Linked DNA regions of Arabidopsis thaliana. The protein of the gene in region 2 interacts with the protein of the main gene of each other region in a pairwise test. Each region holds a gene or a part of one and is shown on either strand. Other genes may lie near its edges.

The links.
Region 1: the proteins of DL1C (region 2) and CHY1 interact in a two-hybrid assay, tested with the Arabidopsis thaliana proteins (one large-scale study listed by BioGRID).
Region 3: the proteins of DL1C (region 2) and DL3 interact in a two-hybrid assay, tested with the Arabidopsis thaliana proteins (one large-scale study listed by BioGRID).

The regions. Positions count from the first base shown.
Region 1 is NC_003076.8:26,374,643-26,382,540, forward strand, and holds CHY1 (beta-hydroxyisobutyryl-CoA hydrolase 1), read right to left. Parts: upstream 5,040-7,898; 5' UTR 5,027-5,039; exon of another isoform or gene 4,976-5,026; intron 4,606-4,975; 5' UTR 4,520-4,605; coding exon 4,490-4,519; intron 4,415-4,489; coding exon 4,334-4,414; intron 4,270-4,333; coding exon 4,201-4,269; intron 4,140-4,200; coding exon 4,076-4,139; intron 4,001-4,075; coding exon 3,921-4,000; intron 3,852-3,920; coding exon 3,768-3,851; intron 3,689-3,767; coding exon 3,604-3,688; intron 3,522-3,603; coding exon 3,436-3,521; intron 3,295-3,435; coding exon 3,173-3,294; intron 2,939-3,172; coding exon 2,878-2,938; intron 2,781-2,877; coding exon 2,682-2,780; intron 2,616-2,681; coding exon 2,514-2,615; coding exon of another isoform or gene 2,490-2,513; exon of another isoform or gene 2,438-2,489; coding exon 2,396-2,437; intron 2,320-2,395; coding exon 2,188-2,319; 3' UTR 1,968-2,187; downstream 1-1,967. Other genes in the region: ZWI (kinesin-like calmodulin-binding protein (ZWICHEL)), read right to left, coding at 8-123, 201-382, 466-565, 651-1,217, 1,294-1,522, 1,613-1,752; AT5G65950 (trafficking protein particle complex subunit-like protein), read left to right, coding at 5,648-6,036, 6,130-6,191, 6,272-6,386, 6,467-6,590, 6,681-6,761, 6,945-7,286, 7,543-7,709, 7,805-7,898. UniProt on the Arabidopsis thaliana protein: Involved in valine catabolism. May be indirectly involved in benzoic acid biosynthesis and in cold signaling and cold tolerance.
Region 2 is NC_003070.9:5,105,095-5,114,353, forward strand, and holds DL1C (DYNAMIN-like 1C), read right to left. Parts: upstream 6,653-9,259; 5' UTR 6,377-6,652; coding exon 6,245-6,376; intron 6,126-6,244; coding exon 6,062-6,125; intron 5,843-6,061; coding exon 5,735-5,842; intron 5,644-5,734; coding exon 5,542-5,643; intron 5,341-5,541; coding exon 5,290-5,340; intron 5,183-5,289; coding exon 5,121-5,182; intron 4,974-5,120; coding exon 4,883-4,973; intron 4,792-4,882; coding exon 4,727-4,791; intron 4,632-4,726; coding exon 4,437-4,631; intron 4,343-4,436; coding exon 4,223-4,342; intron 4,138-4,222; coding exon 4,067-4,137; intron 3,747-4,066; coding exon 3,521-3,746; intron 3,428-3,520; coding exon 3,377-3,427; intron 3,284-3,376; coding exon 3,043-3,283; intron 2,965-3,042; coding exon 2,825-2,964; intron 2,731-2,824; coding exon 2,605-2,730; 3' UTR 2,322-2,604; downstream 1-2,321. Other genes in the region: AT1G14820 (Sec14p-like phosphatidylinositol transfer family protein), read right to left, coding at 143-304, 393-503, 589-706, 794-830, 1,069-1,327, 1,628-1,699; MAP70-4 (microtubule-associated proteins 70-4), read right to left, coding at 7,321-7,360, 7,448-7,635, 7,731-8,258, 8,338-8,409, 8,518-8,664, 8,769-8,924, 9,031-9,201. UniProt on the Arabidopsis thaliana protein: Microtubule-associated force-producing protein that is targeted to the growing edges of the cell plate during cytokinesis. Also plays a major role in plasma membrane maintenance during pollen maturation. Has a GTPase activity.
Region 3 is NC_003070.9:21,889,814-21,897,063, forward strand, and holds the start of DL3 (dynamin-like 3), read left to right. Parts: upstream 1-3,328; 5' UTR 3,329-3,599; coding exon 3,600-3,740; intron 3,741-4,239; coding exon 4,240-4,290; intron 4,291-4,406; coding exon 4,407-4,527; intron 4,528-4,656; coding exon 4,657-4,749; intron 4,750-5,068; coding exon 5,069-5,130; intron 5,131-5,287; coding exon 5,288-5,405; intron 5,406-5,546; coding exon 5,547-5,883; intron 5,884-6,580; coding exon 6,581-6,728; intron 6,729-7,006; coding exon 7,007-7,108; intron 7,109-7,198; coding exon 7,199-7,250. Other genes in the region: ZCW7, read right to left, coding at 114-119, 203-355, 797-956, 1,367-1,508, 1,584-2,097. UniProt on the Arabidopsis thaliana protein: Putative microtubule-associated force-producing protein, able to bind and hydrolyze GTP. Collaboratively with DRP1A, participates in clathrin-coated vesicle formation during endocytosis.

The DNA.
Region 1 (7,898 bases), on a different chromosome or scaffold from region 2:
AACTAACATGCATGACTCTGGACTATTGACAAACCCAATCCCAACAAGAATTTGCAAGGCACAAAGCTGTGCAGCATCGTCCCTCCCAACAGGATAGTTTCCTAGCAAATAGTCATGTTGCAGCTGCATATATGTGTGTCAGCAACGAAAGGCAAGCCTTTTGTGTGGAAATAAATGTCACCAATGAAGAAAATGCTCACTTGAACATACGAAAGTTGCACAAACATCAGATCTGTTACAGCTTCATCAGACTCTCGGAATAATTTTTTTTTAAATACCAGTTTGCAGTGTAGTATCTCTCCTTTATTTCGATCTTTAATAGCTTTAAATTCTGCGAGGAGATCTCCAATATACTTGTTATCATCCAATCCTATATATTCCTCTGCAAGTGCACAGATAGAAAAATGATCGATAATGTTGTATTACTTCACAATATATGACGAAGCCAGTCATATGAAAGCATACCATTTCCGGGATCAGATGATTTAGAACTTGAAACAACTTTACGACATTCAAACAAACTAAAGCTAGAGAAAGCTGATAGTTTAATTGTTCCAGCTAGCTCCTGAAACAGATGTCAATGCAGTGAGAGAAAAAGGGACAAGAATATGATCAGCGGTAAATTATGAAAAAAGAAAGCAAGAAGATACCTCAACAGCATCAGACACTGTGGTAGCCATGTCATATGAAATTTCTTCAAAAGTTTCATCGAGAAAGAAGACAATGGTTGTGAGCTTTCTACCGGTCAAAAGGGCTTCAATTTCTTCACGACCAGGTGTGGTGTGCCTAGGACCAGCTTTGATAGAGCGCTTTAAAGCTTTCAAAGTGTTAACAGCAAGAACCTGAGCATCCGGTTCAATAGTTGCATCGTGTGCGACATTATGAATATACTCAGATAGATATCCACCGATATCTTTGCTAGGAGGCATAGAGGAGGCACATAAGTACATCAATTCCCAAGCTTTGATCAAGTATTGCCTGTCAGGATTATGTCTAGTCTGTTTGGAGATTTGGGCAAAAAGTTCGTCCCTGAGTTCAACACGCTTCAAAGTTTTTTTGAAGAGCTTTCCAACGAGGTCAATGCGTTCATCTAAACTGGGAGGCGTAGATCGATCAGATGAATCAACACCCATATATTTTAAGATGAGATGAAACAACTTGGTAGCACGGCTGACGAGATCGCTGTTAATCTTGAGGAGAGATGTGGGGATTGGATCCTGAAGGAAGGAAGGGGAGAGAGACATATTCAGTCAATGGATTGTCAATGGGGAAGAAAGGGGGGGAAAGAAAAACCTTTTGAAAGCAAAGCATATCCTCAAATGTGAAGCGCTCGCGGACATTGGAGCCAGAGGACTTTTTGGAATAGAAGAAGCCACGCTTCCCAGCAGACTGGATTTGTTTCTGCATTAGCCGCAGAAAAGCTTCAACCTGGAAGCGATCGATGAGGGGAATGGCGGCGGCAAGCTCCGCAGGAATTGACAATGCCACTTGAGGAGCTGGGGAGCTGTGACAGAGCGAGAGACTAAGAATGTTTTCAAATTTTCAAAGAAGAAGGATCAACAGAGACAGCAGCAAGAGAGTGAATGTTTTTAAAAATTCAAAGAAGACTTACAGAGGAGGAAGAGAAGACGACTCGGCATCGAAATCGGTTCCAGAGGGATTGGGAACATAGAAGCAAGAAGAAACGTCGGTGGCGACTTCGGTGCCATTGCCAGAGCTCAACGAAGAATTACTGCCTCGTTGGCCCTCCATACCCGAAGAAAAAGAGAGATTGTAGTAGATCTGATGAACAAATTTGCCCCAGAAATTTGGGCAGAGGGAGAGAGAGAGATGGGGAGACGAGAGTCACGGGAGATTTTTAATTGCCTCTTCTCATTCAATACTTCACGATTCACCTGATTTTCTAATTATTTTTCGTTTTCAGAAGATGAGACCAAGGAGGAATCTCAATCAAATAAATGAACAATGACTATAGACGTGCTTCCACGTCCGTTTGCCATGGTTGTGCCTCCAACACCATTAACAAATCTTAACACAATTCTGCTCTGCTGCTTTGGTGTCAATTCTCAAATACAATAATGATTTATGTAATGTATGCAAGTCCTATTCAACACAAGTGTTGTTACATTTATTTTCTTTTTTCTTTCCCACAGACGTAAACAATAGTGCTCCATCACCTTCTCCACTTCACAGCTTTGCGATCCCTAAAGCAGGCAAGTTATTCCTTGGCGGAAGCTTTAGATCATCCTCCCGTTCCACTCTCTCGAAGTACTGCTCCACCATGCTATCCTTCATGTCCTCCAGTCGCCTTGGCTCCCACTATAATTTCAGATATTGTTATCAACAATGTCACATATTACCAACCACAAATAACAAATGGAGAGACTTGTTAAACCTTTGGGTTCTTATCTTTGTCTACCAATATGGCTCTGCACCCCTGCATAAGTAAAGACACGCTGTTGTAACTACGGTCTACAACAAAGACGGTTTCAGATGGAAAAAGCTTGCAAAACCTCCACAAAATCTTTGCTGATTTCTCCCTTCATCACATGACACACCATTCTATACTCGCGGATAAGACACTGCCCCACCCCCTGCAATCGCCCTTCCCTTATCTGAAATATATACTCACAGTCAGCTCTTTGTCAACATTGCCTGTGATGCACATTCTGGGAACTAACCGATCTAAGAGAGATTTTAAGGCTTGCTGGTGAACCCTTCTTCAATGCTTGAATGGTAGCTGAGATCCAACCATCTGCTTCTTGAGTGGCCTCTCTCTCCTAAGCAACACATATGATGGTAGAGTGCGTTGTCAAAGGTAAATCAGTCAACTCAGGATCGCAAGTCAACATCTCTATATATAAATGAAAAGCTTACAAGTGCAGATATAATTTCTTCGACTGTTCTCCTTGAGAAACACCTATCAATAACATCTAACCTGCGCAACAAACGGGGAGATAAAAAATAACTGTCCTCTGCACTTTTATAAATTTTCAATTAAAGATCAGATGAGAAATGAGTTCTGTAAAGAGCGATTGAAAACCTGACAGCAATACGAAATTGAAATTATAGAAAAAATGTGTTATAATCATGGTCAATAACCGAGAAAATGTAATCAGGTAAAACCATACTAGTAGAAAGAGTAAAAGAGATAAAAATCATATAGACTTGCCTGCGGTAAGCACTCTGCTGTTTCAGGCGCGGATGCTGGGTGTATGCATCGAGAATTGTTGAGGCAAAAGTTGGATCATTTGAATTAATTCTGCAAAGATCTGCTTCTAATGCAGTCAACCTCTGTGGAAAGGAGTAAACCTAACTAAGTAGCAATCCTTGGTGAAGCAGATAGTGCTTGACACTAGTAGCTATACAATATCTGATGTGTAAAGTCAATTCAGAATGTCTTACGAAATAGACGCACGCAAAGGAAGTTCATACCGTTGAAGGCACAAAATGAGTTGCAAGGCCACAAGCAAGCATTTCAGCACCATCTAATCTAGCTCCTGTGAGGCCAACATACTCCCCTGAACAAAAAAGACAAGAAAGCATTTTCAAACTTTGGTGGCTTTAAGAAGATGCAAAAAAAGGAAATATAGCTTCTGTTACCAAAAAAACCAGGGAGCCTTGACAAGAAGTAGGAGGCGCCTACATCTGGAAAGAGCCCCAGAGCTGTCTCAGGCATGGCAAAAACCTTGGAGAAAGTCGAAAGATATGAGCATATTTTGGAGCGACCTATTTGTCATCCATGGACATGTTTAAGGAAAGATTACCGTGTTCTCAGTTGCAATACGAAATCGACCATGGACGGATACACCAGCTCCGCCTCCCATGACGATACCATTCAAGATTGAAACCTATACGAATTGATGAGTTTATCCACTCGGGAGTGATTTTACAAAAACAAAACGAAATTATAGCGAGACCTGAGCTTTGCTATATGTGGCCATAACATAGTTGAGCATGTATTCAGATGAGAAGTAATTGGCACCGAGTCTCCAGTTACCTAGTCAACGAACGAAGATAGAGAAAGAGTGTATAAAAGCTGAAAGTAAGAAACAGAAAAGAATGGGTGGTAAACCTTGATTGATGTCACGAACAACAGCTGCAACATCGCCACCAGCACAAAAGGCTCTCCCATGACCCTGTGGCAAAGTTATTCAGTACTAAATGTGTGTAAGCGGAAGAGATAAGGATAATGATTACCTTTAGGATGACAAGTTTCACACTAGGGTCCTCCTCAAATGCAAGGAACAGTTGCAGCAATCGAGAGATCTACAGAAAAAAATGAGTCTAAGCCAATACAGTACGCATGTACAAGAAGGGAAATATTCGATACCATGTGGAAGGACAGAGCATTCAGCTGCTTTGGTCTGTTTAGTGTCAAGATTCTAACACTCGATTTCTCTTCCACCAAAACCTGTGATCATATTATTAATTCAGAGAGCGAAGAATTGATCGTCGTAGATTCGGATTAAAGACGCAAGAAAGAGACCTGAGACTGAGAGGCCATCTCGACTGCCATCTTTCTTACTGGTCAGATTCGCCTTTGTATCTCCGGAGAGAGGAGCAGCAATGGGATCAGAAATTACCACTAATGGCTAACAAAATCTTCACCCGCTTAGTTTAGGAAGTTGATATTGGGCCTTATAGTAATCTGTTGGTTTTAATAATGGGCTTTATTTTGTTAATAGAGCAAATGGAACTTTGCTTTTCAAACTCAATTTCAAAGCCCTCTTGCAACATGCTTGATGAATGAGAAGATTATATGTTTTTATCGAGTACGTTAGACATGTGTTTTTTTTGTTAGGAAGCTAGTTTTCCAACTAACCAACACCTCCCTCTAGCATAAAATGACACGTGGGCACCAGATCAATCATTAAAAAAGTCTTCAAAAATTCTCAACAACCACTTCTAAAAGTCAGACATGAAAGCCCTCGCCTCTCGATATATAGATAATTTGCATATACATGAAAACTCAACAATCTGACGCATATGCAACAGAGTTGAAAGATGGAAAGAGCAAGGATACGATGGCCGAGTGGAAGAGGAATTAGGCTGAGGCAGAAGACAAAGAGACTGCGTGCGAGAGTGAGAAGCTTTTTCAGGCTTCTCAGGAGCTGGTGCTGCAGAAGGCCTCCGCTGGTCAGAGAAGACGGTCTTGATTACACATCTATACGTCGCTCTAACTCTTTCTACGCCGATGCAATTGCAGACTGCATTGACTTCATCAACCGCTCCTCCGCTTGACAGCTTCTCATTCTCTTCCAATAATTCTTTCTTCCATTTTGTAAAATCCAATGTTTCTGTATATGCAACCAATTCGAATTCTTTGTATTATTTTATTTTTTTGACGAGTCGATGCATCTTTAAGAAGTGGGCTTATAATGGGCCTGATGATACTACATCCTTAGAAACCACATTAGTTTAAATCAGATCTGACAACTGCAGTGGTTCATACCCTTAAAGATTAAAGGCCCGTTGAAAACCCATTAAGTATTTCACATCATATTCTGGGCCAGATGAACAATCTGACAGCTATACAAGTCCATTCCCTTATCCAAAGGCCCGTTAAAAGCCCACGTAAAATGAATGTGTCAGATCCTTCCTTGCTCGATTCAACGCGTCCGAGTCTCAGACACTCCCCGGCGAGATGGAGGAATACCCGGAAGAGCTCAGGACGCCACCGGTAAGTCTGGTGGCTCTCTTCGGATACGCGGAGCTACACGCGTCCATTACTAAGTATCTCCACTCCCAGCAGCCTCCCATCAACGCTCTGGCCTTCCCCGACTTCTCTCAAATCTCTCTCCTCCTTGCTCATGATGATCAGATCAGCCGAACCTCCTCCTTCAGAGATCCTCTCAGCGTCTCCGATTCTGCTTCTCCCATTCCTTCCAGATGCGGCGGTATTTTGAAACGGGACTGGTTGCTTAAGCATCGCACCAAGGTCCCTGCACTTGTCGCCGCCTTCTTTCCCTCACATCACATCTTCGGCGATCCAACTCAATGGCTACAGGTCTGCTCCGATCTCGACAGCCTCAAGTATTTCCTCATCTCCCTTTATATTTGTTTCCTTGTTTCCCCTCCTTTGTTTCAAACCCTCAAATTAACACTGCGATCTCAATTGCTTGCTAGATCCGTAATCCGTCCCAAAAACATCAAACTGGTGGTTGTCGTGGTCCAGTCTTCTCCCCACGGTAGCGCATTTTATCCGATTATTCTTTTCATTTTCCTCTCGGAACTACTGGTGACTTACTCCTTCCCGACTTGTTTTTAGAGGACATTAGCGACGATCGTCTGGTGGCATTGCGAAAGCGGGCAGAATTAGATTCTAAGTACGTGCTCTTCTTCAATTCCAGCATAGTCTCTGAACTCACGCTCTCTCTCTCCAGGTATGTTTCTCTCCTCTTTTACTTTGCACCTAGAACAAGAGGCTTTTCCTTCAATGCATCTCAACACGGTATGTTTGCAGACTCGCTTCTGCTTTTGCAGAGTTGGCACTTTCTTATTACAGAGAAGAAGGACGGAGAATCAAAAGCCGAATTGAGAAAAGGAGTTCCAATTCTCTTGATTTGAATGTTCGCTACTGTTTTAAAGTAAGCTTTTCTCGTTACCTCTGCTAAGTCTAATCATTTTGTTCCAAAGTATCTGGGAAAAGGAAGGCTCATTCATGCCATGACTGCTAGGTCGCTGTATATGCAGAGTTTCGTAGAGATTGGGGTGAAGCACTGAAGTTTTATGAAGACGCATACCATTCCTTGCACGAGGTCTTTATTATCTCTAAGTATTTTGTTTTTTCCCAACCCATCTGTCACGCTAATATGTATTCTGCTTCTAGTCAAGAAGTTCCTTTTGATGCATATATGGTCATTGCTTTCTTATTATTACATATCTTTGCCTGCGGTTTCCACACATTCAATTTCGACGAGCAATTTTGTTTATGCAAACAGATGATCGGGACATCGACTAGGTTGCCTGCAATACAACGCTTGGTCGAGATCAAAATCATAGCTGAGCAATTGCATTTCAAGATATCAACGCTTTTGTTGCATGGTGGAAAACTCATAGAAGCAGTGACATGGTTTCATCAACATAAAACATCATATGAAAAGGTTGTCGGATCCACAGAATTTATTTTTCTCCATTGGGACTGGATGAGTAGGCAGTTTCTTGTCTTTGCTGAGTTGCTGGAGACAAGCTCAGCAACTGGTCAGAGCTTAACATCCTCAAACCAAGGAACTGCGGAAATATCTTTGACTGAGTTTGAGTTTTACCCTGCCTATTATTATCAGGTCAGTCAATTCTGCTCTATGTAACACATAGTCGGAACATATCTAAACTTGGTGGTGCATTTTGTGTTAAATCTTTTCTGTGTCTTTTACCATTTAGTTAAAAACAATACTACATAAACTTAAACACCTACCTCTAAGCAAATGCTGGATTTTTCGTCCTCTTTCTCATAAATTTCTGAGCTGTCTGTTCCTAGGTACAGTATGTTGAAAATATAATATGTTCTTATCCACTGGGAAATTTTCGTTTTACACGCAGTTGGCTGCTCATTACTTGAAGGATAAGAAATCTGCCCTGGAACTGTTGTTGTCAATGTCTGAAATAGCTCAAGAGATTGATAGCAGCTCTGCATCTATTACTCCTTCAGTCTATGTGGGTCAGTTCGCTCAGTTGCTTGAGAAGGGAGAAGCTATTACACTTCACTCGTAAGTTGTTCATAATTCATCCCACAAATCTATGTAAAAGAAAACTAATTATGCTACCACCATCTCTAATAGTATGAATTCTAATGTATTTGCAGTATAACGGATGAAGAGTACACACGGTATACAATTTCAGAAGCAAAGAGAGTTCAGGATTCCCTTCAAATTATTGCTTGGCTGAAGAGATCTTAT
Region 2 (9,259 bases):
AGCGAGCACTCAGTCACCAGATTGAATATATTCGCATTACTTTCTCATGTTTTCATTGCTTCTTTTGGAAATTTAGAGATGTACCACTAGTTATGTTCTGACCATTACAAATATTCAGGTTAATGCTTCCAAAAATAAAGAGCTAAACATTATTGTTTGTTAGAGTTACTGGAGCAGCCTGAGGAAGAAGAACATCTTGGATTGCTGTGAGCTTAGCTCGGCCACCGTACTCTTCCGGTAAAGCATCTGCTCCGATCTCCTCCTCGAATTTTCTCTGTTCTTCTCCATCCGTAACTATCACAATCTATGCAACAGCAAAATCATAATTTATGTGATTCGTTGCTCAAGAACCATTAGAGATAGATACATCAAGAGGAGATTAAAGATCAAACCTTTTCCTGAGTTGCTTTCTCTAGAAAACGGCAGACGAATTTCCAAACGGTCACGAAGAATCCGGGCATATGCAAAATGTAGCATTTTGCAAGGCGTTCCGGGTAGTAAGACTAGAGAAACATTTTCCAAATTTAATAGACAGGACTTCTTTTTGTGTGATAACTATATTGTTTCAGGAAGAAGGGAGATGCTTACTTGTAAGAATTGAAAGCCAGTGATCAATCCACGAGCATCAAGGTTCTTGTATGTAATGTTTGCCAGATCAATAACGGCTACTAATTTCTCACCTCCAACTTCTTTGCCATTGTTGCCACTGAAACATAAAAACCAAAAAGCTTGTCTCACAACCAACTAACCGGAAGATTATTGAAGTGTTTTGGTTTCAATAATGTGTAAACACCTTGCGATTGTTTTGTCTAGCGCATAAACAACAAACTCTGCAACATCAAACAGATAAAAGATTAGTTCATAGATAATTATCGCAAGAATCAACTCAAGGAAAACACATAGATGGACTCAAAAAACTTCATTCATTTGAAGTCAAATGAAACTACTCAATAATTAGAGAACCAGGAAAGAAGCTGATCAGTTCTATGAATACAAAAGTCACTGAAAGTCAAGGGACAGATTATTTCCAACGAAAGTAAAGGTCAGAAGCAAGTGAGAGGTGATTACTCTTGAAGTTAGCTGGATCCTTAGAAGCAAAATGCTTAGAGGTTATGACAAGCACCAATGGGTGTCCGGATTTGGTCGGACCCTGAAGACAGACCTTTCTGAATTCCAATTCATCCTGCACTTCTGACTCAGGGATGAATCCAGTTGGAGGAACCATGGAGGCTCTCCATTTTTGCCAATCTACAAACATCTTTGCTGCCTTGACTGGGTCCATTGATCTTGCCACCAGGAACCTCATCAATGTTGGTTTGTCATATCCCTTTTCAGAGGAAACAACAACAACAAAAACCATTGATGAGATTTTCTGATTATGGATTCACTTTTACTAAACTGTCTCTACTGTTAGGGTTTCTGATGGGAGGCTCAAACCTAATCAGACAAACCACTATGACGAGAATGGAGACAGAGTTTTAACAGTGTAGCCCATATAAAACCCATCAAAATCAAATGACAGATATTTCTCATTTTCTAACGAGACATTGTCAGTGAAACTCATGAAACGGCCAAAAGATGCAAGCTTTGTAAACTGTAATGAAACTAAAGCGTCGAATTAGATTACCTCAGTAGAAGAAGAGAGTTTCTCGACCGATTTTCTCAACTGGGTCAAGGCAAGTTCTTGGCTTTCCTCCATGATCTTTGGCTCTCTCAGATCCTAAAAAAATCTCACAGAGAAATAAAGAGAGAGCCTTTTGTGGTCCGTACAGACGCACGATAAAGTAAGTTGAAAAAGTAAAGAGCTTTGATGTTGACAAAGACCCAGAAGCCACAGGAAGAAGAAACAGACAAAGTATTGGGTACTTGTCTCTACGGTAAGTGGATAGAAATAACTCAATAAGCCTTTCCCCAACTCGCTGCAATTAATGGGCAGCTGGAAGTTGAAGCTCTCTCTTTGACTTTTGTTTCTACTACTTTGACGATTTAAAACAGCTGTGATGATTACATTGCTTTTTAACTCCTAAATCCCGAATCTTAAGGCTTACTTAAAGTTCTTTTAATCATTTTTCTGATCAACCATGTGAAACAGGCTTTGTTAACGGTTATACATTTAGCTGCTTGTTCTTAATTGAGCATTGGAAATTCAGTTCTAACGATTTTTATTGTTTGTGACAGAAGAAAAGTCCTTTAGGTTAATAAGTTGTTCTATCTACATGAGATGTACATTAAATTTTCAAGAAAGATTAGCTTCTTTGTCATCTATTTGTTTTTAAACTTGAACTGGATCCAAATACAGTAATGGCACAAGTGGAGACCAATTGAATAAAAATCAAAGATTAGCTTCCTTTTTGTCTAATGTAAAGAGTGCGACTTCAAAATATGTCTTAACTGTTCTAAAAACCAGTATTCAAGAATCGAAGATACACACCAAAAAAAAGTGGGAAAGTTGTGATAGAAATTAGCGACCCAAGAAAACATGAGTAGTCGCGTGTATGTTTGTGTAGACTGGAAGTTAGAACTCCAAACATATCTATTATAATGCAGTGTGCCCACACGAACAAAGAAATTAACAATATAAAGAATATGTCTTAGCAAACCCCCTTACTTCCAAGCCACTGCATCGATGTCGTCTCTAGCTTGTTTGTAAAGCTCTAGCCGTTTAGCTAAGGTTCCTCTTCGTTCCATCAGCTGTGGGTCTTCGTCCAACATAGCACCCAGCTTCTCCTTCTGCACCATCATTTTTCTTAAATTTATTCTCGATTTGGGCATGGCATTTTCTACAAGGTAACAAAATAATCCAAAGGGTAATAATATAGTTTACCTCTTTCCTGCCAACTTGAGCGTAGAAGAAGTTGAGAAGCGATCTCTTAGCTTCTCTAACTTGGCAGTAAACGACAGCTTTGGGAAGAGAGTTTCTCAATGTGTCGCAGACCATGTTTATGTATGCACTCACGTTGGATCCTGAATTATCCAAAGTCAACAAACAAAGACTTGATAATGTATCATTTCTAAGTAAAGGGAGGCGAGAGAGACACGTACCGATCTTTCTGAAGTGATTATCGGAGTAGGGGTCTGCGTTTGGTGCTGGGGCATTCCTTGGGTTTGGTTTCTCTTTCTCGGGTTCAAGATGGAGTTTCCTGAAGAACTCAACCGTGAGGTAGCTAGATTCCATATCCACCAGACGCAAAACCGTTTTCCTGCTTTCGTCTCTGAATCTTTCAAGAGCTTCATTTGCAGCAGCTGCTATATCGCTTGCTAGAGTCGGGAAACGCTTCAGTTCCTGAAAAAAACAGCAATGGTATGTTAGGACTAAAACAGAGCGTAAAGAGCTAGGAAGAGTTCTCAAAACCAAAGGCATCTTGTCAGTTCTTACCTCTGTTTCTGAAATTGACTTTCTGACCAGCTCCTTCAATACGAAATGCACCTAGGAAATATCAAACAGCAATCAAGAATATAGTCAATTTACTAAAACTTAAGTCTCAAAAGTAATGCAATCTAATAAATTTTGGAAGCATACTGCATCGACAGTGGCTTCAGCTGGTCCTTTGAAATAGCTTATGGATCCATCAATGAGCCTTCTGTATCCTTGTTCAGGAGCAATAAGATGCGGCTGATAACCATCTGCTTCTGAAACAACCTTCTGAACATTTTTGGTAGACAGATGTCGATCAAAGGGAAGTTTCTTTAAGGCTGCTGGTAATTGATGGTCGAAAACTCCATAAATTCGGTCTCCACCAGGTCGTCTGATACAAACAACATAATGACTGTCAGAAGACCAACTTTACCGGACGTACATTGTGAAATTATGTGAAGCATTTTCTGGCAAACATCTATGAAAAGGTCATTGATGTAATTTTTTTACTAAAACTGCACATCCTTAGTCTGGAAACTGACTAGAAGGTAAGCAAAATTCATTATAGAGCAGCACATTACTCTGGAAACGACACTATCTCTTAAAAAAATTCATAGACTCCAAGTTGATCATCACAGTCGCAATGTAATAGTACACCAACAAGAAGTTATAAGCTTTACGAATAAGAAGTAGAATAACTAAATCACTTACCCTCCATCCAAGTGCTCCTTAAAGACACGATCAAATGCCCGGCAGAGTTCCAAAATTGTGTAAAGTTGGGCCTGAAATCATATATTTAGTGAGTGACTAACCATACGATTCTGATGCAACTCTGAATTCCAATTACTTAATGGTTTAAAATCTTACTCCTGAATCTACTGCAATGGGTCTCCCAATCCTATCAAGTTCTGCATTTATCTCATCGATGCTTTTGTTGATCAAAGCAACAATACTGGGGATTTTCTGCCTGATAACAGTCTCTAAGTGCTAATAGAGAGGAAAACAAAGAAGGAAGAAAGTCAAAGCTAAGCATTCAAGCTTTAATTTAAACGAGATCTGTGCAAGTAAATCCAAAGGGTACCTGAGACAAGAGTTTTGCTAGATATTCTGATCCCATTCTACTGGCTAAGTGCCCGTATTCAGGGCTTGTTTCAAAATATTCTTGCTCTTTTCTACGTGCAGCAATCATATCGACTCTCTTATTAATATCAGCTTGTGAACGATTCACAATTCCAACCCAGGGATGTTGCAAACGGTATGACCTTCCCTCAAGAACCTTCATCAAATAGGTAGAGGAGGTGTCACAATATATTAAACAAGTAACAGAATTAGTTGACACCCCAAGGTGCAGAAATCAAGAAAGACGCTTACATCTAGACAATCTGTTCCTTTATCCATGATATCAAGCTTGGTTGCAACACCAAAAGTCCTTTCGCCTACAGAAATATATTAGAAGGTTAAGAAAATGTTGTGGAGTGTAAAAAGTCACTACTTACCAGTTATTAGGAAACTACATTTAGGTCGTACCTGTAGGATCAACTTCTCTAGCAAGTTTTATAGCATCTGAGGTAGCAATATCTTGATTTGCTGGAGAAATAGCCAATATGATGCAATTTGGCTGCAGTTAAAAGATTTTATGGATAAGCTTCCAGAGTTGACATTATAGTGAGTGATGATGATCAAATGCATTCTTCTGTTCAACTTGGTTGGAAAAGTTGAAAAGATTGCCGAAACCGTCTCAGTAATAGCTTAGAGCAAGACTGACCTTTTCAACATAAGACCGGACCATATTTTCAATGTCTTGGACAATACTTTCCGGTTGTCCATCTACACGAATAATATTCATATCAGTGACTAGTTTAAGCACAAGATTCATATCAGTAACTAGTTTAAGCACAAGCTAAGCTACTGGATAAAAAATAGTAAACTCTTACCTACAGCGACCTTGGTCAAACCCGGAAGATCTATGAGCGTCAGATTAACAACTGTAGAGAAAAGAGTAGAGTGAGAAATCAAAGTCACATGGAAGAGGTTAGCAAAATTGGAATCTTCAAATCTAATTGTACTACTCGTTATCTCATTACAGCTGGTATCAAACTATCAATAATATAGGAAATTTACGGTGTTGGTTTCTGAACTAACTACAATAGGAATGCATAACAGGAAATGTGGTCTTAAGCACAAACCATTAGGAGAATATATGCTCAGCTGAATTGGAATGTTTGAGATTTGTTTTGACTTCCCAGTAATACGATCAGTTTCATCCTCAATTTCTTTCCGCACAGCAGCTGAAAAGAGAATAACACTTAGATTAGCCCGACATGCCTTTGTCGATTTCACTGTTTCCAGCAATTAGCGTGAAAGATTCAATCAAACTACCAAAATCAGCAAATCTCTTCTTAGGAGCATGAAGAAACTCAGCGTACTCAGTTGTCCCGTCTTCAGTCTTATGAAGTTGCAACACCAATGGCCTCCTTGTAACGATACCTGATAAAATCAAATGGTATCAATTTAGATGGTCTCCTTCTTCAGTCTCATGTTTTTCGAAGTAGTCAAAATGTTCATGTAATGCTCTCAAGATCACAGAGCTTCGCTAAATTGTTTGAAATCGAAGCAACTAATAAGAGCACGAAATTCCGAAAACCTAATTTCAATTCCAAACATCGAAGACACTAGACAAAATTGCTTAACGAGAGGTAAAATTACCAGATCCACGAGGCAGAAAATCTCTTCCCACAACACTTTCTAGAACTGAAGATTTTCCGGAACTCTGATCCACAATATCAACCAAACAAAAATGATAAATCAGAAACGTGGAGATTGAAGAGGCGAGAAGTGAGATCGGATCTTAACGTAGAAATGTGTATATTCAATAGAAAGAGATCAAACCTGGCCACCAACGACAGCGACGGTTGGGAGAGCTTCCCAAAGCGACATTCCTTCACCGCCATGATCTCCGAGGACAGTACACGCCCTCTGGATTTTGTTTATCAGACCTATCAAACTTTTCATCGTCGCCATGTTTCCTGGAACGTATCACAGATCCAGAAAATCTCTCACCGACGCTCAGATCTAGATCTAACGAAACGAATATAGTTATCGGAGGATGGATTTGAAACGTCCGGTGAGTTGTTACTCTCTCGCGGTAGCAGGAGGGATTGATGAATCTGGGAGAAAAGAGGAAAGAACCCAATGGAGCAGAGAACGGTAATGGGAAAAACAATTTCAAACCAAAAAAGTAGGACTACTTGCTCAAATATATAATACTTTTGGACCGAAAGTGAAAATATATCAAATCCCACGTCGCTAAACGCGTACCGGTCAATGATACGGAACCGGTTCAATTCATGTGGTTATGTTCTTTTTTTCTTTCTTTTTTACTCAAAAGTCAAAACTACTAATTATCATTAAGACCTGATTACATTACAAATGTACTTTTTTCCCAATAAAGTCTGACTACAAATGTTGTAAATATCCTTCTCAAATCTCAATGATGGTGTTCTTATAACTCATGTGGTGTTCATTAACTCTATCTCTCTCTCTTTTTGTATATAGCTTTTTTGGGTTTTACCAGTTCTTTTTTTGAACACCAAGAAGAGTTCTTTTAAAGATAAAAAATTAGGCTACCAATATAATCGAGGTTAATAAGAAAATTAACTAAGAGGAGAGAGTGACACACACAAAACAAGAGAGTAAAAAAGCTTAAAATGTTGAACAAAACAACCCTACCTCTACTACTGCAGTACTACTATACATAACGCAACAGAGTAAGAAATATATCAGCTAAGTGAAGTCAATGTCTCCCTTTACCTTGAATGTTGGAATGCTTTAGAGAAACACACATCGAATCAATCAGGTACTTTACACGATTATCTCTTTCGGCTTTTGAATCCCTTCTCTCAATTTGGTACAAGAACCTTAAGGCAAGCCACAGAGACCAACCAGTGATTGATCGAATCAGTTTGTCACTGTGTGCTCCTCGTCATCCCGATTCGTCCAGACACTCTACCAAATGATAAAATACATAAACAATAATGACATCTAAAGGTAATAATAAAGCTTATTGTAGTTGATATGATAATACATTAATACCTTCCAGAAAGTAGCTGAGCTGTGTTTCCCTTTGAGACCGAGAGACGTCTGGTCTTACTATCTTGTTGTCCTTTATCAACAACACGCATTGCAGCAACTTCTTTCCCCATTACAGCTACTTCTCTTCGCATCTTCTTTGCCTCAACGTCCATCGCCTTTGTTAATGTTTCAACCTTCTTGGCCAACATCTAAATATACACAACCCATATCTTTAGACTTATATTATACAACATTTCATATAAAGGCGGCAAAGAACAGGAAAAAAGGCCAAACACTAGCAAACCTCAATCGCTTCGTCCTTGTCTCTCAGGCTCTGATCTTTTTCATGCGCCGCTTTTCTTAATGTTATGACCTCTTTCTGCAGCAGATCGTACAAGACACCTGGGACGCTATCATTATTTGTTGCCTTGTCAGCTGATTCTTCTTCCCCTTTTATTGAGCTAGGCGATTCGCCTCTGCTAGTTCCTTCAGAAGACTTGTGGTTCAAAGGAAAATTCGATCTCGGTCCATTTATTAGCACTTTGCTTCTATCCAATGATCTGGTGCCCCCATCAAATGATCTTGATGTTCCTTTCGCATGCTTCAATACAGTGCTTGCACTAGCAGTCAATGATCTCAACTGAGAACTTGGTGTTCTCTTAATCAGCGAGCCATTTGATGTAATTTTTGGACTTGTTTCAGCTCCACCAAGGGATTGTCTTCGAGTAGGCCCGTTGCTCGAACTTCTACCAACAGATGTGCCTCTGCTGCTGCTGCTCGTAGGCCCCTTTAAACTCTCTTCTAACACTCTAAGCCGCAGTAAAAATTTCTCCTAAAAATAAGTAAAAGCAGCAATTCCTCAGTTAGGAGATTAAAAAAAATAAGATGGTGTCCCGCAGCTATGATTCTACCTTCAGCTGAGCTTCAGATTTTGCAGCTCGGTCAGCTATGGCAAGTTTGTCGCGTAGTTGTTGCATTTCTCCCTGTCCAAACATAACGGTGGTGGCAATAGTATAAGTTAATCTCCGTGAATATGAATCACAATTTGAAGCAGCAAGAGAATTTAAATATTAATATGTATCAGCAATGACCTGCAAAAATCTACGTTCTTCAAGCCACTGCCTTACAGGCATCACTTTGTCATTAGAATCTTTCCATTCGTTAGCTACAACAGTAGCAACTCTGTTTGCATTTACCTTCGCACGGGCCAATTCCCGTTCAAGGATTTTCCTCTCTTCCTAAGGAAAACACAAAACACCACAATTACGATCAGTACGAGACCAAAACACTAACAAGAAAAACAGTAAGTTATTGAGGTACTATAGAAGCATATGAAATATACATTCATTTCTTGGAATTTCCTTTGGTAATCTCTCACTGCGTTTGCGGCTGCACCACCAGCAAGAACAGCTTCTTCTAATTCCCGAACACTCTGCATAAGCTTTTCAACTTCTGCAACCTTCTGTCTGTGCATCTTGTCTATAATTCTATTCTCTTCCTATTTTAACCAATGTATCAACAAATAAGGCCACCACAGTGGTAAGAAAAGGAAGAGATACCCTATTCTGGTGTTCCAATATGTAAAAGAAATGATATAGACATACCTGACAAATTTCAATCTGTTTCATCAATTCTTGGTTCTTATTCTGGAGATCATCAACCATTGAAGCCTTTGCCAATGCAGACTGAACTGTCCTTTCAGCGTCAAGCAAAGCTGCTTCCTTTGATTTGGTTAGGCGGTCCAATGATTTATTGTCGTCTTGAAGTTTAGCAATCTACCAATCAAAACATGTAAACCCATATGAGAAAGCTGTTAAATGTCCCGTAAGTTGT
Region 3 (7,250 bases), about 17 Mb from region 2:
TAGAAATCTTCAAAACATTATCTAAAATACAAATACACCGGTATAGACCTAGAAGACAGAGAGAGAGCTGACAACATCTCCCAAGTTCCCTCTACACCTTATCTCAGAGTTCTCTACTCCTGCCAATAAACAGAATTTAAGACATCAGAATCATCTTTATACGGATTCAACATTTTTGTATATGATCATAATCATACATTACCCTGAATCTTTTTCGGCGTAAATCATCCTGATTGCATCCAAAAGACTCGTTTCTGTATCCGCCATCTCTGTTATCCAACGGCTTTCTCGAGTTTCTGAAGAATCCAATCTTGTCCCATGTTAGTTCATAGTCTGCCTTTAGCCGAGTGCCTTCCTGCTCAGATGACAAAACCAGAAAACATCAGTTATGTTTCAATGCCTACAAGAGAGATACGACACAAATACCAGTTGCCTAATTATTTCTGCATAAACAATCATATAAAATTAAATAAATCGACTATCAAACAAGAAGTATTGAATGTGGTATATAAAGATGTTACAGAGCCGGTAAAACATTTAGATGTGGTTACAACTTAGTTTCGAATACAGTAGCAAGAACCCACAAAATCACACTAGCAGAAACTAGTTTTGCATACAATCTAGCTCCGAATTCAGAAGAAGCATTCAATAAAACCATTTCTGCTAATGATAAAACCTCATATGCTATTTAAGAAGCTTACGCAACAGTGAAAACTACTAACTTACCATCTCCAAATTTTCTCAAAATATTTGTGTAAATAAAACCTGATAGTGGTCTTTGCAACATAAAGAATACCTTTTCCATTGAGCGACCACAAAAAGCCTTCATGGCATTCACGAAATCATTGTACTTCTCGAACTGAACCACAATCTTACAATGGAGACCTGATATGAGGTCTCCACTATCCTCATCTGCGTCCTTACCTAGATCATCGTCCTCAGCAACATTAAGATTCCTATAGAGGATTAGTTAATGCAGCGGAACATGGAATTTATGTAAACTATCGGAATTATATTAACATCAGATTCATTGGTAAACAGAATAAATGATCCGAAGAATACTGAGAACACATGGTAAGCAAGTTCAATACAATGATTGTAATTAGTCTTCAGATAAGATTTCCATACAAAATGTCATTTCTTTTGAACTACATGGACAAATACTGTATACTATGATCAAATGTAGATGCATCAAATCTATCCAAAGCAGCACAAAACTACTTAATTTTCCAATAAGCAAGCCATAGATCACTCTCAACTCACATAGTGTCACATTCTTGAAGCAGATTTATGAATGTTCTCTTCACTCCGATTGAAAAAAAAACAATCCTAATCAAGCTGGACATGAAAGATGACAAAATCTTACCTAATTTTCCCAAAGCTAGAGAAGATTGTATGTGTAACCAACATAGAAGGCTTCGATGAAACTCGTGGCTCAGCAAACCATCTTGATGGCACACCTCTAAGTATAATCGTATCAGCCTCTCTCCTTCCTTCCCTTGAATGTCCTGCAAATCACAATCACATCAATTACCACGAAAAAATCGTAAAATCAAAATCCAAAATTGAAGAACCAAGATTACCAAAAGCGTAAAACTCCTCCCAATCCTTCTTCAACTTCTCGAAATCATCTGAAATCGGAAGTACCACACTAAGCTTATACTTAACTCCTTCCAAATTAAGCTCAATACCATTCATCTTCTCCACCAAACTCTTCCTCCAATCCAAAAACTTCTTCTCCAATTCCTTCACATCTCTCTCTCCATCATTCTCCTTCTTCTTCTTCTTCCCATCGAGAAACCCTAAATCGCGTATAAACAACGATCCATGAGCAACTGGCTCCTCACGCTTCCGTTTCTTCAAGTCCTTGTGACGACGAACTACGATGTCTTCCTCCGGAACTGTGACGGAGGTTACGACAGAGTTTTTGAGGTAATCTATTAAGGATCGCTTGAGTTGCCATTCGTCGATGGATTTGGATACGGATGGGACTACTGGGTGGATTGTGAGATTGAGCTTGACGCGTGAGACGAGAGCGAGACCGTTCTCTTCGATATCTAGAGTTTCTATCGGAGATAGCTCTTCTAACGATCGCATTTTTCGCCGTCGATGCAAAATTCAAAATCGCGATTGGCTCTCTCTCTCAGAGTGTCGTCGGCTATTGAGTACAGAGAACAGGAGGATACTGAAAACAGTGGTAAACCAGAATTCCAAATCGGTTATTTCCGGTTCTCTTGGTTTCCAATATTTTGGGAATAAATTGCATAAACGGTCCAAAATAGAGATAAATTCCAATGTAAATTTTTTGAACATTGACTGAAACCATTAATAAATGTTGAACGTTTCATCCAATGCCTAAATATATATGGTAAGGATTCTTATCTTAGTTATGAGTTTTGGCATACTAGGACTGAAGCATTGCATCCTACTGTGAGTTTTGGTGGTTTGTGCTCTTCTGTTGACCTTAGCAATGCGTCCATATAAATTGAGTATGGTTGGATTACTGTTCATACCTCTAGCGAAACATTGCAATTCGCTAGGTCTCTATTGTGGGGTTAGATGGCATGAACCATTAGTTGCACAAATGAACTCTAATGCATATCATAGAGGCTTGTTTTTGGATATAGTTTACGAAATATTGAGATGATATCTTTCATACAAAAACAAAAAATGCATATGATGATGACACTCTTACATACACTTTTGGTACTATCTATCCGCGTATGATTTTAAGATAATTTTTTTGAGCTTTTACTTTAATTAGAATTTAGTGATATACTTGTATGCACAAATTTATACAAGCAATTTATGAATACGGTATACACAAATTTATATACAAACAGTTAGACCAATACCAAAATTTGGTGATATACTTGCAAACCTAGCATGCTAACGAATTTGATAACTTACATGCCTTATCCCATCTAGCGAAACAAATTAGAGAGATTAAACTGTTGGAGATAAATTTAGAACTCGGTTGATCACAACTCAACATTTCGCACTCAAACATTACAAAAATACTAGTCTCCTACATCAGGATTACAAAGTGGTCTTCCGCATTTGTTCATTTGGAAAAATATACAACCAAACAAGCGCATTCGATGATACAAATTCTTGTACCACATTGAAATTCACTTACAATATTTTAATTCGAACAAATTTAGCTGAGAATGTCTTTATTGATAGCAAAAAGTTGTGTTAATTTATATTTTACGCATCCACATTTGTGTGTTTTATGCTTTCACATTTGTAAAGAATTTCTTTGAACAGTTGTGAAAATTTTCAACATTTATGAAAGAAAAGAAAAAACCACTTAATAATTTTCAACATTTATGAAATTTGAAAAATGTGTTAATTACTACGTGTTTATGTAAAGTTATATGACCCGTCTTGCCCATTCTCTCCCCGACGAAGACACACACAGACAAACAAATCCTAGCTTAGCACCGTCGCGACCGAATTCGAAATTCCGGTAACCCAATCGCCGGGAAAATCCACCGCTCGTGGCTACCGATATTGATTCTAATCGGATCTAGCGGCTCCCTTTCTTCGTCCAGATCTCGTACTTCATTCGACCTCGATTCGCTGTGCAAGTTACGATGGAGGCGATCGATGAGTTGTCTCAGCTTTCGGATTCGATGAGACAAGCGGCGTCTCTGCTCGCTGACGAAGATCCCGATGAGACCTCTTCTTCTAGACGGCCAGCTACTTCTCTCAACGTCGTTGCCCTAGGGAATGTGGTGGGTTTTCTCTCGCTTTTTCTGTTTCTGAGATGTGACTGTATTTGGCGTTTGTTGTAAGTTTTATACTGTGATCGAGTGTAGATTTTTGTTGCCATATCGTGGATCTTGTGGATCTCGATGAGGTGTTTTCGAAATGGTCCCGTAACCTAGGAGTTTGGTAGGATGTTTTGTATTCTTCATCTCTTCGTTCGTAGCTTGTTTTGTTGCGTTTCTCTCTTTATTAGGGATTATTTGATTCTATGAGATTCAAACCTGGGAGGTATTACTATAGTAGAGAAGGTTGATGCGTTTGTTATTTGAAACTATGAGAAATCTATTTTAGAAAGTGTATATCAGAACGAAAAGTGTATGTGATTTACTCTGTTTCCTAAAACACTTATCTGTTGGAAGACAGAAAAAATATTGCTATGTGTTTGTGATTGAAACTTCTTAGGCTTAGAAAAGAAAAATTTCTTATGTGAAGACTGAAGTTATTTCACTTTTCTTGGTGGATCAGGGAGCTGGAAAGTCTGCAGTTCTAAATAGCCTAATTGGGCATCCAGTTCTGGTAAGTTGTGTATTGAATTTGAGTGCGCGGCAATTTGTGTATGTCACTATTGGCTGATACATTTTCTTAAAGTAACCACTTTGTGTTGTCCTGTCTACTATGATTACCATGGATAGCCGACGGGTGAGAATGGTGCGACACGGGCTCCTATTATCATTGATTTGAGTAGAGAAGAATCACTGAGCAGCAAGGCAATAATCTTGCAAATTGACAATAAAAATCAACAAGTTTCTGCAAGTAAGAGCTCCCTATGTGCACATATGCAATTTAGCAATGATTTGTGAAGCTATTTCTGCATGTAAGATGCAATGCATTAGATTAATATTTGACTAATATTTCCGTTTTTTTCGAATGTGTGTATTACAGGTGCACTAAGGCATTCACTACAAGATAGGCTTAGCAAAGGAGCTTCAGGAAGGGGTCGTGATGAAATATACCTAAAACTTCGTACCAGCACAGGTAATTCCTTTCTACTTGCACAATCATAAATGGGAATCCCTATTTAATGCAACATCCATATTACCCAAGCCTAAGTCGGATAATGTCCCCTACTTAAGTGAACAGTTCAGCTGTAATGAGTTTTTACCTCTAAATCTAACGCACATTAGCGCTTCAACTTCTTTTGGGTAGAATCTGAAGCTAAGTTGTGAAAATTGGACTATATATCTAAATGAAGATCTAACTTAAATGTTCTCTTTGGAACATGAATTATCACATATCGTTTGTTTTGTACTGGTTTCTGTAATCATCATAACATATTTTTCCCTTTTAATTGCAGCTCCACCACTGAAATTGATTGATTTGCCTGGACTGGACCAGCGAATTGTGGACGATTCTATGGTAAGCTTAGGAACTGCTTGATGCCTTTGTCATCCCCCTAATCCACCTGTCAACCATGGAGAATTTCCACATTTTTTATTCGGCATTCTGGCTGTAGGGCTTCATAGATTCATTATCATTGTCATCTTATAATTTGTTTCTCTCCTCTCTTTGCAAGATTGGTGAACATGCACAGCACAACGATGCTATATTGCTGGTTGTTGTGCCTGCTAGCCAGGCATCTGAAATTTCGTCATCTCGAGCCCTGAAGATCGCAAAGGAGTATGATCCAGAGAGTGAGTATATAGGCACTTTCGTTATACAGACCCTTCATTATACTTCTAAACAACTGGGGTTACTACATTTGGATAGAAACATTGGAACTAAATTTTGTGTATACTATAACCAAAAAAAAAAACATCACTCCTTATTTATAGGTACTAGGACAGTAGGAATTATCAGCAAAATTGATCAGGCAGCAGAGAACCCAAAGTCCCTTGCAGCAGTTCAGGCGCTTCTTTCAAATCAAGGACCTCCAAAAACAACTGATATTCCATGGGTTGCACTTATTGGCCAATCTGTCTCAATTGCATCAGCGCAGTCTGGAGGCAGTGAGAACTCTTTAGAAACTGCTTGGCGTGCTGAGAGTGAAAGCCTTAAATCCATTTTGACTGGTGCTCCACAAAGCAAACTTGGCAGAATTGCCCTGGTCGACACTCTTGCTAGCCAGATCCGTAGCAGAATGAAGCTCAGGCTTCCGAACATCTTAACTGGGTATTTCCTCTCTCCATATGTTTTTGCTTTTATATGTCAAATGAAAAATCGATTGTTTGTTTGCCTATTTTTCTGTACTGGTACTTTAGGGAAGATTTACAATTTTCTCCATCAAAGCCAATTTGTTTTGTTTCTTTGAAGTTGAAGTCGACCTTTAGGCTTAGTTAGCTAGACTTTCCAGCTCCTATCATCATTAGCGCACTTCTCATGAGATATTTTAGAAACCTTTGTCCTTGTGTCTTTCTAATCAACATATACGGACCAGGTCGAAGCTAAGTTTCTGAAAAGGAAAACAAGATTCATATCTTTAACTGATTGAATAGATGATAATCTACCTAAAAGTCAAGAAATTAAACCTCTATGTTGAATTTGCAATGGAGAGGAACGGTGTTTAGTGAATTGGAATAAACCAAAAGGCAAAGATAAAGCAAAAGGGAAAGTTGCATAAGAGGAAATAGTTATCTGAAATTGGATATGTGCCAGATTTATCTGCCATCGTTACTGAGTTCTGAAAATAAGAACTCTTGCTTGCAAGATCTCTGGTCAATGCTCATCATCATCTGTTAAGCTGATATATTACTTTTGTCTCCCAAAATGTGATGTCTATCTTTTGTTTTAGTTTCTGGATGATTATTTAGGGACATGATTTTGGTTCTTATGATAGTCCTGAACTTACAAATTCCTTTGTTACATGCAGACTCCAGGGTAAGTCTCAAATAGTGCAGGACGAATTAGCGAGGCTTGGTGAGCAATTGGTTAGCAGTGCTGAAGGCACAAGGGCAATAGCTTTGGAGCTTTGTCGTGAGTTTGAAGACAAATTTCTTCTCCATTTAGCTGGTGGTGAAGTGAGTAATTTCCTACGTTAGCTGAACCATACTTTAGCCTTTTCATTTTTCTAGTTGTTATGGAAAATGTGTGGTACTGTTTAAATATAGACAATTAAGAAATTTAGGAAGATTGTCTGATATTATCTAGGATTTCACGATACTAATATTGGATCTATATGTGATATGTTTCACGGAAAAGGTTTTTGAATTGCATGTCTGGTGATTGTGCCCGTTCATGTGCTGAAGGCCTTTTTGGATTTCGGTAAATATTTTTCTCTAATAAAAATTTGGTTCAGGGAAGTGGTTGGAAAGTTGTTGCAAGTTTTGAAGGCAATTTCCCCAATCGTATCAAAAAGCTTCCGTTGGATAGACATTTTGACTTGAACAATGTCAAAAGGGTGGGTTTCTGAATTTTCCTGCCTCAAATTGTATAAACAAGTAACGGCTTTAGACTGGAGTGTGACAGATTGATTTTCCAATTGTTTCAGATCGTGTTGGAGGCTGATGGTTATCAACCTTATCTCATATCTCCAGAGAAAG